Coturnix japonica: one gene and its partners. The protein of the gene in region 2 interacts with the protein of the main gene of each other region in a pairwise test. Links are inferred from orthologs where the notes say so. Each region holds a gene or a part of one and is shown on either strand. Other genes may lie near its edges.

Evidence for each region.
Region 1: the proteins of MID2 (region 2) and MFAP1 interact in binary tests that used the Homo sapiens proteins (3 or more experiments, as listed by UniProt). The two-hybrid records come from large-scale screens. The link is inferred for Coturnix japonica from reciprocal best matches to the Homo sapiens genes MID2 and MFAP1.
Region 3: the proteins of MID2 (region 2) and CCDC42 interact in binary tests that used the Homo sapiens proteins (3 or more experiments, as listed by UniProt). The two-hybrid records come from large-scale screens. The link is inferred for Coturnix japonica from reciprocal best matches to the Homo sapiens genes MID2 and CCDC42.
Region 4: the proteins of MID2 (region 2) and LGALS8 interact in binary tests that used the Homo sapiens proteins (3 or more experiments, as listed by UniProt). The two-hybrid records come from large-scale screens. The link is inferred for Coturnix japonica from reciprocal best matches to the Homo sapiens genes MID2 and LGALS8.

The regions. Positions count from the first base shown.
Region 1 is NC_029525.1:18,263,728-18,267,791, forward strand, and holds the start of MFAP1 (microfibrillar-associated protein 1), read left to right. Parts: upstream 1-1,262; 5' UTR 1,263-1,369; coding exon 1,370-1,448; intron 1,449-1,685; coding exon 1,686-1,905; intron 1,906-2,117; coding exon 2,118-2,247; intron 2,248-2,561; coding exon 2,562-2,749; intron 2,750-3,117; coding exon 3,118-3,226; intron 3,227-3,299; coding exon 3,300-3,460; intron 3,461-3,702; coding exon 3,703-3,862; intron 3,863-4,064. UniProt on the Homo sapiens protein: Involved in pre-mRNA splicing as a component of the spliceosome.
Region 2 is NC_029519.1:1,683,905-1,687,415, reverse strand, and holds part of MID2 (probable E3 ubiquitin-protein ligase MID2), read left to right. Parts: intron 1-242; coding exon 243-370; intron 371-825; coding exon 826-969; intron 970-3,511. UniProt on the Homo sapiens protein: E3 ubiquitin ligase that plays a role in microtubule stabilization. Mediates the 'Lys-48'-linked polyubiquitination of LRRK2 to drive its localization to microtubules and its proteasomal degradation in neurons.
Region 3 is NC_029533.1:1,626,699-1,630,671, forward strand, and holds the start of CCDC42 (coiled-coil domain-containing protein 42), read left to right. Parts: upstream 1-1,171; 5' UTR 1,172-1,387; coding exon 1,388-1,476; intron 1,477-1,793; coding exon 1,794-1,899; intron 1,900-2,014; coding exon 2,015-2,119; intron 2,120-2,594; coding exon 2,595-2,792; intron 2,793-3,485; coding exon 3,486-3,695; intron 3,696-3,973. UniProt on the Homo sapiens protein: Essential for male fertility. Required for sperm development.
Region 4 is NC_029518.1:33,917,061-33,921,250, forward strand, and holds the start of LGALS8 (galectin-8), read right to left. Parts: upstream 2,803-4,190; 5' UTR 2,799-2,802; coding exon 2,595-2,798; intron 749-2,594; coding exon 660-748; intron 292-659; coding exon 81-291; intron 1-80.

The sequences.
Region 1 (4,064 bases), on a different chromosome or scaffold from region 2:
ATGACTGGGAGCGGAGCAGGAGCTGGGCACAGAGCTCTAATTGTCATCGGGACATCAAGGCCAGGAACACCAGGAAGGACTTGCCTACCCCCAAGCACTGCTGCTGCAGGAGCACAAAGCCACCAGTGCCCGAGGCAGCGGGACAACTGCAGCACTGGGGTCTGGCTGCACGCACAGCAGAATCACAGGGACCCTGGAGCGGCCAAAAGCTCTGCCTGGGCCTGCTCAGTGGCAGCTCTTCTCCTGCCACAGCACCAGCAGGGTCAGGCTTACCCAGGAGCTGTTGTGCCCAGGGGACCCACCCTGCCAGCACAAGGGAATGCTGAGGTCAGTCCCCAGGAGCAGGTCTCACTGCCTGGCACCCCCGTGCTGATTTCCCGGAAGATAAAACCTCTTCCCTTCTTTTGGGGAGGCACCGCAGCGCTGCAGACGCGGTTGTGGTGGCTGGTGACCCAGTTTTTCCTGGCTTCAAGAGAAATCTTATCTCCTGTGGTTGGCTGCTACCGCGTGGGCAGCTGCTACGAGTTGGCGCTGGGCTGCTTTCCTGCGAAACCCAACTGGTGTGTGAAGGGCTCTGACGTGAGCAGCAACAGCTGGGGCAGGAAACCTGCCCGCTTCCATGTAGGGGCTGCTCCTGCGGGTAATTCCCTCTGCCCTGGGCCGGTGCTGCGGGAAAGTCCTGGCAGCCAGAGGGCGGGGGACAGCCCGGGGAGAGCCCTGCAGAGCGATGGTAACCGGTAAATTCAGCACCGAGGTACGCCGCGCATTCAGCACGATGGTAACCCGGGCATTCCAAGCACCGATGGGCAACCCGTTTCAGCACCGTGGTAACCCGTATTCAGCACCGATGTAACCCGGTATTCAGCACCGATGGTAACCCGGTATTCAGCACCGATGGTAACCCGGTATTCAGCACCGACACTGAGCGCAGCCTCCAGCCGCAGCCACACGAGCAGCAGGGGCAGGACTCGGCAGCCGGCCCCGGGAATCCCGGGCAGGGACCCGGCGCGGGCCGGGGCTACGTGCGGCCGGCTCCGCAGCACGTCACCACTCCCGAGCCCCGAAGCGATGAGCGGAGAGATCACAGCGGGGCCGATCTGAGCCCTGAGGGGAACCGAGCCCTGAGGGGAACCGCCGCTGCACCGCGACCGGACCGGGCCGAAACCAGCTCCACATCCGGCCACAGGAGCCGGAAATGACCTCCACGCTGAGCGTCACTTCCGGCGGCTTGCGACGGTTCGGCGCGCGTTCACTTCCGGTACGCCGGCGGAAGCGGGAGTTGCAGTTCCGGGTGAGCGGTCGGTCTGTCGGTCTGTCGGTCGGTCGGTGCTGTGAGCGGCTGCGGTTCGTCCCGTCCCGTCCCGCCGCCATGTCGGCCCCCAGCGCTCTCGTGAAGCAGCCGCCCATCCAGTCCACGGCGGGCGCCGTGCCCGTCCGCAATGAGAAGGGTGAGTGCGGGGCGCCGGGAGGGGCGGGGGGCGCGGGCACGGCGGCGGCGTGAATGTTCATGGCATGAATGCACATGGCTGCCCATGGCGCCCTGCTCATGGCCCGGCTGCCCATGGCTGCCCATGGCTGCTCACGGCTGTTCATGGCCCGGCTGCCCATGGCGCCCTGCTCATGGCCCGGCTGCTCATGGCTTCCCGCTGCTGTTCCTCCCGCTGCTGTTCCCCCCCCTCCCGCAGGCGAGCTGTCTATGGAGAAGGTGAAGGTGAAGCGGTACGTGTCGGGGAAGCGGCCCGACTACGCGCCCATGGAATCCTCGGAGGAGGAGGACGAGGAGTTCCAGTTCATCAAGAAGGCGAAGGAGCAGGAGGTGGAGCCCGAGGAGCAGGAGGAGGAGGTCGCCAACGACCCGCGGCTGCGGCGGCTGCAGAACCGCATCACTGAGGACGTGGAGGAGCGGTGAGTGCTCGGCTCCGGGCTCTGCTCCCTCCTCGTGCTCCCCCCCAGCTTTGTGTTTCCGGGCTCCTGAGCACGCAGGGGATGCCTCTTTCCTTCACACGCTTCGTGGTCCCGGGTCTGACTACGGTCTCATTAGAAACAGATCGCAAAGATTTCTCTTCTTTAGTCTCCTTGTGTTCAGAGCTTCGTAGTCGAGTGGACATTTGTTGCAGGCTGGCAAGACACCGCAAAATTGTGGAGCCTGAAGTGGTCGGAGAGAGTGATTCTGAGGTAGAAGGTGAAGCGTGGCGTGTGGAGAGAGAGGACACCAGTGAAGAGGAAGAGGAAGAGATCGATGATGAGGTTCGTTATATTGCTGAGCAGATGTGGCCTGGGAAAGTCCCCTTAGGCCCTGTCTGGAATTCGTGCTTGCAGACACACGTGAACTGTGGTGAGACTGGGTGGATGTTGGGACCTGAGTTAAAGCCAGCTGTGGTGTGACCACAGCCTGTGGGTTATGGGGCACCAGGGAGGTCACCTGCGTTCTGAGGTGTGGGCTTATATAAGCAGTCAACATCATATCATATAAGCTCAACATCATGCTTTTTATATGGAAAAAGGAAGGAAGCGATAGTGGGGCTGGTTGGCTGAGTCTGTGTTTGATGTGTCTCCATTAGGAGATCGAGCGTCGGCGTGGGATGATGCGTCAGAGAGCGCAGGAGAGAAAAACTGAGGAGCTGGAAGTGATGGAGCTGGAAGATGAGGGCAGATCTGGAGAAGAGTCTGAGTCAGAGTCTGAGTACGAGGAGTACACAGACAGCGAGGATGAAATGGAGCCACGTCTCAAACCTGTCTTCATCCGCAAGTAGGTGATAAGGTGATACAGCTGCATGGGCCAAGCACTGCATCAGGGATGGGCAGTGACTGACCTGGTAGGGCATGGCTGGGTACTTCCAACTGGGGACTTTAGGCAGGTACAGCACAACAGAAACCAGGTAGTGTGCTCCAACATGTTCCACAGCCAGTAGCAGGGTCTCCCATCACCTTTGTGCATGTCTGCAGATGTGAGGAGACTGAGTATGGTCGCTCTTGAATGAGCAAAATCAGAAAGGAGAGAGCCTTGGGACTTGGCCCTGCCGTGGGGGGCATAAAGACTAAAAGAGGCTGCAGTGGGAGCAGAGGTCTGCAGTGGCATGTTGAAAGGCTGAAGGCTTTTGTGGTCCCTGCTCACAGGAAGGACCGGATCACAGTTCAGGAGCGAGAAGCAGAAGCCTTGAAGCAGAAGGAGCTAGAACAGGAGGCAAAGAGATTAGCAGAAGAGAGGCGCAAGTACACACTCAAGGTACAGCGGGGCAGACTGGGGCATGCATGTTGGGGCAGCCATTGCAGTGAGCTGAGCTTGGTCTTGGCTTCAGATCGTGGAAGAGGAGGCAAAGAAGGAGCTGGAAGAGAATAAGCGCTCGTTGGCAGCACTTGATGCTCTCGATACAGACGATGAGAATGATGAGGAGGAGTACGAGGCTTGGAAAGTACGTGAGCTGAAGCGCATCAAACGGGATCGTGAAGAACGAGAAGCGTAAGTACTGTCTGCTTAAGGCAGGGGAGGGTCCCTGCAGTCCCAGGCCCTGCAGGACAGCGGGCAGTTGAGGCGTCTCTTTCTCAGTCTTTGTTTTGGCAGCATCAGGAATTTTCTTGAGGTGCTTTACTCCATTATGGAGTCAGTCAACGTATTCGTCAGAAAGTCCCGGGTGGCAGCAGCTGTCCCATCTTGGGAGGGCACTGAGGGATGCAGGGGCTCAGGGTTTCTCTTTTGCCCAGCATGGAGAAAGAGAAGGCAGAGATCGAGCGGATGAGGAACCTGACAGAGGAGGAGCGCCGTGCCGAGCTGCGAGCCAACGGCAAAGTCATCACCAACAAGGCAGTGAAGGGCAAATACAAGTTCCTGCAGAAGTACTACCACCGTGGCGCCTTCTTCATGGTGAGTTCTGCTGCCAGGCCTGGGGCTGCGTGGACCACGTGGCTGTTTTGGGGGAGTTTTCCCTAGTGGTACCCAAGTAAGGGCTGGCCAAGCACACAGGACCAGAGCTGGCCCTCAACAGCAGCGTGCTGCTGAAGTGACTGAGGGGATCTGAGGTGCCTGTCAGGTCTGGCAGGCAGGGTGAGTAAAGACACGAATGCAG
Region 2 (3,511 bases):
CCAGTGGAGCAACAGCAGTGGGAGCAGCCATGTGGGGAGAGCCAAGATGGGGCATAGGGATGAGACCCCCAGCAATGGACCCCCAGCTCTATGCCCCATCCCTGCCACTCCACTGGGTGTTGTGCTGCATCACCTGCTGTCCCCTGCTGTCACCGTGGGGCTGCTCACCCCCTTCCCATCAGCCAGGAGTCGGGAGCAGAGTGCACCCCGATGCGGATTGATGGGCTCTTCTCTCCTTTCAGGGTCGCCATGGCAACTGCATCCTCCCAGGTTCTAATTCCTGAAATTAATCTCAATGACGCCTTTGAAAACTTCGCCTTGGATTTTTCCAGAGAGAAGAAACTGCTGGAGGGTTTGGATTATCTCACTGGTGAGCACACAGGCACATAACCCCTGCTCTGCCCCCCAGCACTGCCTCCTTCTCCCCACTGAGCGCTGATGGGGGGGATATTAAACCAGGTCAATAGTGGGCCATAGTAGGACAGAGGCCACCGGGTTGTCCCCAAGGCAGTGATGTGTTCCCATCATCCTGTTGGCACCTCAGGAGTTCAGAAAGTGGGGAAAAAATGTTGCTCTCCACCAGTGAGGGAGGAGGTGATGACCTCGGGGTGGGCAGGGGGACAGCCAAGGAGACATGGGAATAAACTGCTTACTGTGCCATGCTGGGGCTGGAGAGCCAGGGGGAGGACTGGGGGCTGTGGAGAAGTGAGGATGTTGTTACTCAGTGACTTGTAAATGAGGCTCTGCTCCCTGCGTGAGCCCCATAAAGAGCAAATAAAGCCCAACAATGAGGAAACATCAGTTTGTTGAATTCATTCCCTGCAGCACCGAACCCTCCGTCTGTGCGTGAGGAGCTCTGCACCGCCTCCCATGACACCATCACAGTCCACTGGACATCAGATGATGAGTTCAGCGTGGTCTCTTATGAGCTGCAGTACACCATCTTCACTGGACAAGCCAACTTCATCAGTAAGTCACTGCTTATTGAGCAGCCCCCAACCCAAAAGTAGACACTGCAGAAGTGGGGATGCAGATCTCATGTTCTATGGGAGGGCAGGGCCTGGTGCATCAGCTGGGGGCTCAGATGGGGAGCAGCAGGAGATGCCTGGGGGCTGGGCTTTGTGGTTTAATTTCCTCCCTTCCTACAGTGATCAGAATGGACTCTCAGCTCTTTAGCACCAGGTGATTGCCATGGCAGAGGGAGGTGGTGGAAAGGGCAGGGCTTAGAGCTGTGATGGCCCAGCAGCCCCCAAGGATGGGAATGGCACATCTGCACTCTCCATCGAGTCTTCCTCATCACTCACTGTCAGAAAATGTTATTTAAAAGCCAAACACAGGAGCTGGTTTGGTTGCACTTGGAGGAAAGGGACATATGTGGGGTAGAAGAGTGGCTCGGTCAGAAAGCCAAGGACTGTTTGGCATGATTTCATGTTATGCAACCTTATTCCTGAGATATGAGGGGGTTTGCATGGATGTGTTAATGGGAGCACAAAAGTACATCTTTCAGTCTGTCCATCTTGGAGCGGTGCCTTCAGGAGAGCAGGATGGCCATGCACTGCTGTTCTGCTCCTGGTTGTACCTTGGGACTCTCAGGGCTGGAGGATGTGTTCCCCAGATGCTTTGCATGGACTTTTTGGGCTTCCATTAGCTTATCTAACCCCACAGGGAGACGAAGGCTGGGGAAGGCTGTGAAGTGCCCCGTGCTGCATGCAGGAAGCTGCTGCAGCCAGGTCCTGCTGGCTGCTCCCAGAGCTGATAAATGTGTATCCCCACAGCCAGGAGTGGAAAATGCTGATTGATTTCCTCTTGGCCGGGGGTTACCCAGTCCTACAGCATCCAGATGTCCCCACCCTGCTGCCCTGTGCTCCTACAAACACCTTTTCTCCAATGTTTTGCTCTTCTCTCAGAGCTTGGTGAGGATTATAGGCATCCCCAGCCTCCATCCCCACCCCAGCTGAGGAAGGACCATGGACTGTTTTGAGCCATTAAGGGGCTGAGAAGCACTTTGCCCCACTCTTGGCATGGAGCAGGGCTGGATCAGAGCCCACTAAGGGATCAACCCCTTGGGATGGACAGTGTGAGCCCCGAGCCCTGTGCTCAGTTCCTGAGGGTGGGATGGGCTTTGGAAGAGGTGGGAATGACACGCTGTGGCAAGGAAAGCCCAAAGGGGCAGGTGTCTGCAGTAGCTTCCTTGGCCTCCTTTACTCGCTCTACGAAGAAGGAGGAAAGAAAACATCAGTTAACACCTCGGAGCAGAAAATGAATAATATATTGTCACTTGCAATAACATGTTCAGGACCGGGAGACGGAAAAGTCTGAGTTCTGCAGGAACCCATGCGTGAAGAGGTGATGAAAATAGCACACAGGGCTCACCAAGCAGAGCACCAGTGTGCTCCCAGCAAGGCACGTACCTGCTCATGGCACACAGCTGCTCGTGCACAGCTTCCCCTGCCCGCTGCCTTTACATCTGAGTGCTTGGCAGGACGCAAGTGTTTTGTATAGATGACAAACGCTGAGATAAAAAGGATGTGTTCCAGCTTTGGCAAGGAGAGGAGCCCTCAGCCCTCAAGGCCAAGCCTTTCTTGGTGGCTTTGAAAAGGACACCCGCTTTGGAGGCTGAATTGCTCCATGATTGCCATCTCTCAGCTGCTCTGCCCTTTGCGGGGCCGGATCCCAAGGTGGCTCTTGGCTGCAGGGAGATAACAGCCACGGCAGCTCTGCCCGCGGGATACCGTCGCTATCATTGCTGTTGGATTTTCTACTTCAGATAACGTTGCTCTGCTCCCCTCGGCAGCTTCCATGTGTACTTCAGACCAAATCCTTGCTGACAATGACTGCAAGCTCTGGCTGAGCGAGCCACGGGGGAGGAATAATCCCAGTGCTGTCCCCACGTGAGCCTTGGAGGAGGAGGTGTGGAGTGTTTTCCCGGCTCCCGACGCACTGCTGTGCGCACACACATGGATGACAGGTTGCTGGAATCCCTCCTCCAGCAGCACGCCTTCCCAGCCCACTCCTCACGCGCCGTCTCACGCCTCGCCCCCAGACCTGCTGGATGCAGGGAGCATCCCCAGCTCCTACTGTTGAGCATCACTGATCCTCCTTATGCTGAAGGCAGCACTCCCGTGTTGCAGTATCAGCCCCAGAGCTGCTGATAGCCTGGATCATCTGTGGCTGCAGTGGATTCCATGGGGCATTGACACCCACAGCCCCTTGGTGCTAGCTCAGCTGTTGCCCCCAGAACTCGCAGCTCCCTTTGCCTTCAGAAGGTCATTCTCGCCCTGGGACCTGCTGCACACTACACTGCTTTTCTCCTTTCCTGTAGCACCGTGTCATGGAATCGCAGAATGGCTGAGGTTGGAAGGGACCTTAAACATCTGCTGTGGGTTGCAAGGTGGCACTCCATTATTAATACAGCACTATTTCAAGTGTTTTCAGTATATCTGCCAAACAAGCCCCTGCAGCATTAGGGCTTGGGGCCTCCGCAATCTCCTAATTCATTTCTATTCCCAGA
Region 3 (3,973 bases), on a different chromosome or scaffold from region 2:
GAAAAAAAGCCGTCTGAGGGCATTTCCACAGCAGCCGTGAAATGGATCCAGGTTTGGGGAAGACCCACCAGGACAGGGCATGGCGTTGACTGTCACAGCTCTTGGACCAGCATCTTCTGAATGGGATCTGTGTGCTTCCTCTTAAACAACAGAGCGTGGTGAGCAAAAACCCAACGGGTGGGTGTTACAGCCCCCCCTGAGTGATGAAACACCCTGGAGGCAAAGGCAGAGGAGAAGCCCTGATGGTAGACATGAGCAGACAAGCAGCTGATGGCGCCGCCTGCTCCCCAGAGCTGCCTGTCATTGGTAGGGCAGTGTCATGTAACGGGGAATTCTCAGTGAGGCTGGGAAACCAGCCAGTGTTTCCCCTTGGAAATGCCTGCCTCCAATTATTCATAGTGGTAATGAACTTTAACTGCCTGAGCTGCTGATCGCAGCACCCAGCAGCCACCTCAGGCTGCTCTGCTCTCCCCCCACATGATTGCACGCCCCCAGAAGCCCAGATGGAGTCTGCCTGACCCACTGGGATGGAGCAGCTCAGTGCTGTCCATAGGGAAGTCACCTGTGGCTGATTTTAACCTCCATAATAAAAGCCAAGTGCATCCCTGGCTTTGCCTTGGTCATTTGTTTCTCAATGAAGCATCTCTCACACCACTAATGGTCCCCACCTGTACTATATATCTTCCTCCTGCTTAAAACAGACAGAGCTGGCAGCCTCTCCCCAGCTTGCTGGTTCATAATGAGCACAGGGTGATGTTTGCCTGAAAGTAATTTCCCTGATACAAGTCAGGGCTGTAACCAAAATGAAGACTTCTACCTGCAGAGTCTCACCACTGAGGCAGGGGCATTTCACATGCAGTAGCCTGCAGATGGATCTTGCATGTAAGGGCTGAGGAAGGTGGAGGTTGCCCTTGGCAAACATAGAGGGTGAAATGTCCAGACCTGGAGGTCACTGCCAGCTGTGGGTGGGGGACCTTTGGGAGTAAAGGGTTCATCACAAGGCACCACCCCAGCCCATAGGGCAGCAGAACCCTTCTGGCAGCCCAAGACACAGCATGGGGTGCGGAGCAGGCAGGGCACACATGCACTCTGCAGTCCCTTCCATGAGGATGTGGGGTATCACACTGCTTTGGTCTCCATATAACTGCCTGAACGTCCTCCAACTGCCTTGGAACCTGTTCCATGCCAACCAACCACCAACAGTCAGCAGCAACAGGCACAGCCAGGGCACAGAATGCCCTAAGAAAGCAGAAGCAGGAGGCTCTCAGGGCTCCTATCCTTGCTGAGTGTTTCTCCTATGCACTGCTGAGCCCGTGGGCTTACAGGGCAGCTCCTGGGGTGAAGGGGCAGCAGCTGCACCAGGATTTGAGCTCTCTGGGCCGTGCTGATGGCTGAAGCAATGGCCACCGTGGACAATGAGGACCTGTCAGACTATTTCAGCATGCAGTACAGGCAGAATCTGCTGCCCTTGCTCAAGTAGGGAGTTCCTCCAGCCCGTCCATCCACTTCTGTTTCCCCCACCCCTGCAAGCTCACATCCCTTATCTCCCCCACTCATCTCCTTACCTCCACCACTCCAACCTCTCCTTTCATCTCCCCTCCTCAGCCCTGCAATCCCTCCTTGCTGTCTCCATGGGATCCCCTCTGGGGAGCAATCCACCCTGGTTCTCGGAGACTCTTTGCTGTTGGACCAGCTCTGAGACAGGTCCTGAGTGGGCAATGGGGCACAGCAAACCAACACCCTGCCAAGGTGCTGAGCCCAGTCGGTCACCACAATGAATGCTTCTGTGGCAGGAAACTCAAACTGACCGAGGAGGACTCTCTGTCTCCATTTATTCGCCTCCAGGAGAAGAAGAAAGAAGCCCAAGAGATGCAAAGGATTCTGGAGGAGAAGGAAGAGGTGAGAAGGGTGGAAGGGCACTGGTCACTGCTGGGGTGGCTTTTTGGAGGGTGGCAGTGCATTTGTGGCTGGCTGCATCACAGACAGCTGAGCTGTGTCCCCTGTGTGCTGCCAGGACTTCAGGGTGAGGATTGAGAACCTCACCTGCAGGTGGAAGGAGTTGTGGGCTAAGGAGGCCAAGCTGAAGGCTCACATGAAGAAATCTGAGAGGACCCTAAAGGTACAGCTGCCCCTCCTCCATCCATCCAGCACAACACTGAGATACAAAGCCAATTCCTCCCCTTCCCTGGGAAGAAGGACTGTGGGCACCCCTCTCTGCATGGATCCCCTTTAAGCCCTAAGGGCAGCTCGGGACTTTGTGCCAGATATGCAAAGCCCTGGCAGGGCTTGTGCAGCACGCAGCTCATCCTGCACCACTGTGACCCCTGAGGGCCCCAGGCAACCCCCAGGAGGGGCTCATACTGTCCCCACTGATTGATAGCAGTAGGTCTGAAAAGCAAAGTGCCTCCCAGGGTCTCGTCTCCAAGACCAGAGTGTTGGTGTTAATGAGATGGTCCCATTAAGCAGGGATGGAATGTGTTCCCAGGGAAAGATAACTCCTTACAGCGTTGCTGAATGACATAACTCCTTCTTCTCTCGCTTTCCTTTCCCTGTGTGCATGTTTATGTGCATGTATTTATGGGGAACACTGCTAGGACAATGATAAAATGCGAATCCAAGCTCTAAAGAAAGCTGGCAAAGAAAGGGAGTTGATGATACAGAAAGAGAATGAGCTGCTGAGTGCTAGGAAGGAACTGGAAGAGCTGAAAAATAAGCACCAGAAACTCAGTGTTGGGGTGCAGAATTACTCCATCTTTGGAACATACCTGGAGGATGTGGTGAAGATCTCACAGGTGAGTGTGGGAAGCAGTTCATGGCCACAGGGAGGGCCTTACATGGGCATTAAACATGGAAAAGAAAAGATATATTCAGGAAAATCATAGCATTTGGTCAAGCCCAGAGACCTCAGATGGGATGGGAAGAGGTTCCCTGTAAGTAGGGTGAACCAAAGGGACCAGAGTTAAAGGAAGAGAACCAGAAAAGGAGGGGAAGACTTGGGAAAACTAAAGGAAAACTATTTAAAGGGGGTAAAGGCACAGAGATGAGTGGAATGGGGAAAACTTTGAGTCACTGTTTCGTGTCACATTGATGGTGTGGGAGGAGTGTTGTCTAGGGATGGGAACCCAAGCTGTATCCTTTCAAGGAAGCCCGGGCATCATTCCATGCATCACTCATTCTCCTGGGATGCCAGCTGGCCCCTTCCCAGCTCCAGGTAGATCAGTGCAGGCAGTTGCATTTGTGCTTTGTTTTATTGGAGTGCTGCTCCTTTGTAGTAGAGGTGTGATGTCTCACCTTGCTTATGGCACCTCTGGGAACAGCCCAACTGGAAATTACCAGGGATGGGGCATTGCTCTCATCCCAACTTGGCTGGCAGTCCATCAACAAGGGAAGACACTCCAGCTGGGGCAGGTGCTGCACCTCATGAACAGTGCAAGACTTTCCATTATAATGGGGGGGGTGGGATTACTAACCCCGCTGTGCTGCAGTTTGAGGAGATCCAGGCCATCATGTGGCGCTACAGGATGTTGGTGAGGATGCGCAAAGCCCTTCTGCAAGCAGAACGTGGGCTCAGGGAGGCAAAAGAGCAAGCTGAGGAATTCAGCCAGTGTGCTGAAGATGGGAGCCTGCAGTACAAGGACGACCTGGATCAGCTTGAACTGCGTTATCAGCAGGCTACCAAGGATATTCTCACCTGGGTGAGGAAAGATGGGACAAGCAGGGGAAGATCTCCCAGGCCTGGAATGAGTTGAGTCTTATCAGGCAGAGATGGAGGGTGGGAGGGTAGCAGTGGGATTCCCAGCTCCCAGGGAGCACAGATGGGGTGAGACCCATCAGAGCGAGGGCTGCAGGAGCCAGCGGAGAGATGGAGAATCTTCTGGGGGTAACAAACAACTATGGTGGTATCTGGATCAGCTTATATCACACCAAGCTGGACCACCTCCAGCAAGCACGTGGTCCTCACAGCAAAACAGAT
Region 4 (4,190 bases), on a different chromosome or scaffold from region 2:
CTTCTGATTATATTGTGCGTATGCTAAATCCCTCTCTTTTATTGGCCTAACAAATGGACCAAGAATTAACCCAAACTCACCTGGAATTTATCCTTTAAAATCATGATGACAATCTCAAATGGCTTTCCTTTTTCAAAAGGCATATCATAAGTGATTTCTTCCCAGCCCCATTTTTCCCTCTCCAGGGTGTTGCAAACAATGCAGCCAGACCATTTGAAGCGAGGGTTAAAATGAAAGGCCACATCAGCTCGAGGCTTTATGCTGCTGCCACACTGTAAATCCACCTGGAACCTAAACATAAAAATAAAACAAATCGCATTTAGTTCATTCTGTCAAGAAATCATATACAAGTTCAACTGATAACCTCTTCAGATAAATATGCATGTGCCATGTGGAATGACATGACAGAAAAATAATGCCAAAGCAGACAAAGCAAAACCATGGAAGAAGATCAATGGAAAGCAAAAAACCAGTTTATCCTCCAGTTTTCATCACAAAACTTTCATAAACCACTTAAGGTTGTATCCTCTGTGACACTATTGCTTCATCTAAAAATGAAGTCTTTGTCTGCCATCCATCACAGGACACGTGGAAACATTTTCTTAATTACAGGCTTGTTCACCTTATGTTAATTCACAAAGTGATACTGTAGTTACTACCTGTCTGCATCATCAGGAACATTCCCATGTATCACAATCAGCTCTCCAGGAACAATGCCACCAAGAATCGTCCCGACATAGGGAATGACCTAGAAGAAGGAGGGAAAAAAGACAGAAATAACCATTTGTGACAGAGGCAAAATAAATATATAGTTTTTTAAACAATATTTTTGATAATTAAGTGATGCTCTAGCACATTAAAAGAAAGACAACTAGTATTCCATTTAAATGAAACACTAGTAAAGCATTAAATATCTGCCACGAAGAGAAGGAAAAACCAAGATTTTCATCACTGAAGATCAGCCTTCTCAGATAAGATTAAAGCTAAACATTTACAGTCTTCATGCCTAGCTCTCTAAAGAATAATGGCAATATTTTACTGCTCCACTTTTAATATAGAATTCCCCTTCAAATTAGGTCATTGTCAAGGACTAACTACTGCTGGTTGCAGGAGGCATCTTGCACCAGTTTTTTAACACTAGACTACAGCTGCTGTCTCTTTGCTTGCTCTTTTTTGAAAAACTGTGATTGGAAAAGCAGCAACTCTGGTGGAGAGTATCACAGAATCACAGAATTATCAGGGTTGGAAAAGACCTAGAAGATCATCCAGTCCAGCCATTACCAATACTTCCTGGCTAAATCATATCCCTCAACACAACATCCAAACGTTTCTTGAATACTCCCATGGTTGGTGACTCCACCACCTCCCTGGGCAGTGCATTCCAATGCCTGACTACCCTTTCCGAGAAGTAATACTTCCTAATGTCCAGCCTGAATCTCCCCTGGCGCAGCTTAAAACCATTCCCTCTAGTTCTATCACTGATTACACAGAATGGGAATGACAAAAAAAAAATCTCCTAAATCCAGAGCGTTGTTCATTTCCATCTTCTCCCTTTCCTTCCCTTCTCAGCTACCCACATATTGCACCTTTCTTTGCAGTCACCTTTTACATTAGAGATAATACAGACCTACTTCACAAGTATAAGCTTGAAACTGACCAAACTGTTTAAAGACTTGTGGATTTTACTGGCTTAGCCAACTGCAGTAGAGGAGGATGAGAACATAAAATTAGGCAGTATAAGTGAAATAACAAATAAACTGATTGAATCAATTTACTTACTAGCAGTAGTGTAGGAGCTTAGTTCCATAGTCTACAAGCTGTACAAAAGACACTCAATTTCATCCAAATAATAATACGTAAGAAAGAATACATTCTGCATATTTTCTGCACATCATGCAGTTTAAACACACTGCTTGCTCCTGAGGGGCAGTAGCTTTGAGAATCACAGCAGGGTATAAGTTACTGGTTCGGTCTCCAGAGATGAACCAATAAGAAACACACAGACACAGCCCAGGAACACTGGGATTTGAATACTCCAGTGGGTCAAAGTTATTTATACACTGTATACACTGTTATACACTGTATACTGTGTACACTGTTATACACTGTATACACTGTTATTTAACACTGTAGCAAGGATACATTTAATAGAGAAAAAAGTCAGCCATCTCTTGTCCAGAAGCTCAGTCATGGAATCTGCATGGCCATAATAGAGCATTTCCTGGGCGTAATACTACAGACCTAATGACCATCATTACAGAATGTGCTTGTCATTTCTTCACGTCTCAAGAGCTGTGCTAATTTTAACTCATCTATTAAGAATAATGCTTGTGCCACTACTTGATTCCATCCCAACTCTCTCACAAACCTCCAGAAGTTCCCCATGAAGCCAACTAGCCAACACTAACTCAGTTTGAAAGGCCTCAAAGACCAATTTGCAGACTTTGTCTGGAGCCTGGAACAACTTTTCACACCTCTGTCTCCAAATAATTGCTCTTATTCTCCCCCAGGCTCTTGATGCCTAAGCCCCAATAATACTCCTTTATGTTCTCCAGCTTGGTTTTGTCACCCACCATATTCACCAGACCACTTACAGTCAACCAGTTTTGCTGAACTCCTCCTCTTCTCCTTACACAGACAATGTCACCTGTACATTTACTGATCCTCTTCACATCTCCCTTTTGCAATTCAGTCCTTACAGCTCTATTTCCATCTCCACACATCCTTCCTTCTTCCCCCAGATGGATTCTTGTGAAGAAACCTAAAGCCATTTCCCCATCATCTATTAGTCTATCCATTTCACAAGCAACAAACAAGCAGTGGAACTGAACAGTCAGATGCACTTGAGGGCACTGGACTGTATCAGTGCAGAACTACAAGAGAAAAGGAAGTCCTGTACAGTTACGTAGCACTGTTTATTCCACAGAGATTCTATACAGACCTAGTGGTGTTGCTTTTTTTTTAATATTCTGTGCTAGAAGTATGACAAATAACCATCTCCTGAAGGCTCAAAAGAACTGTTTTTAAAGAACAATGAGAAGTAGAGCTCCAGCCCATTTCTCATGCCAGTGCAAGGCCACTGCTGCAGAGTACAAGTAGAGAAATACTACAGCCACCTATGAGGATTTTCCTCACACACCCAAGCAACATCAAGAGCTCTCAGTAACACTCTGAGCCATAGGAATGCCCTGCTAATTTCTGACATTAAAGAGCAAAGTTCCATTTCCTGGGGGAGGAGTTGTTGACATAAGAGTTACCGGGTTACTGATATTCTTCTGCAGTCCATCCAAGGACATCATCTTCCCTCCTCCAGTTCAAGTCAGCCAGTCCTGTGTGACAACTCTTAGAGCGTATTCAGATGTTCACTGATCTGGCTGCTCCAAAGCGTGGACCCTTTGAAAAGCCAAAAGTTTTAATCAGAAAAACAAAAGTAGAACTACATGAAGTTAAACTCTTCAAAGTATAACTTTAAATATATTTCCAAGAAATTTGATCATGTTTTGAAACATCAAAGCTAAATGCTTGGTTTAAGCATCACTGAATCACAAGGTTGGAAAGGACCTGCAAGATCACCTAGTCCAACTATCCTCCCATCACCATTGCTACAACAAGCTACTAAACCATATCTTGTAGCTCCTCATCCAGATGCCTCTTGAACACTGCCAGGGACAGCAACTCCACCACCTCCCTGGGCAGCCATTCCAGTGCCTGACCACTCTTTGAGAGAAAAAGTTTTTCCTTATGTTTAATCTAAACCTCTTCTAGCACAACTTGTGGCCATTTTCTCAGGTCCTGTTTATTGCCTGGGAGAAGAAGCCAAAACCCACTGAAGAAGTATCGTGCTATTCTAGCAAGCGATACTGCACACAAGGTACACAGCTTTTTACCAGCTGCTTCCTGACATTGTGTATACTGAAACAGAACCCTGTATAAAAATCACTACTGCATGGGGCAACACAAATAACCCTCATCTGGGCCTTAATTACTCTCCATTTGCAGCTGACCCCTACCTGCAGCCCATGAAAAGAGATATGGTACAGAAATGTTTTTCCAAAATAAATAGCCATTTTCATTTCCAGAGCTGTGTAACCTGGCAGTAAGTGCTAGGGGCTGAACTACTTTTCTTCAGCTTTATCCCACATGAAGCTAAGGGATACTGGCCAAAGACACAGTAGGAAGCAAAGGGCTTT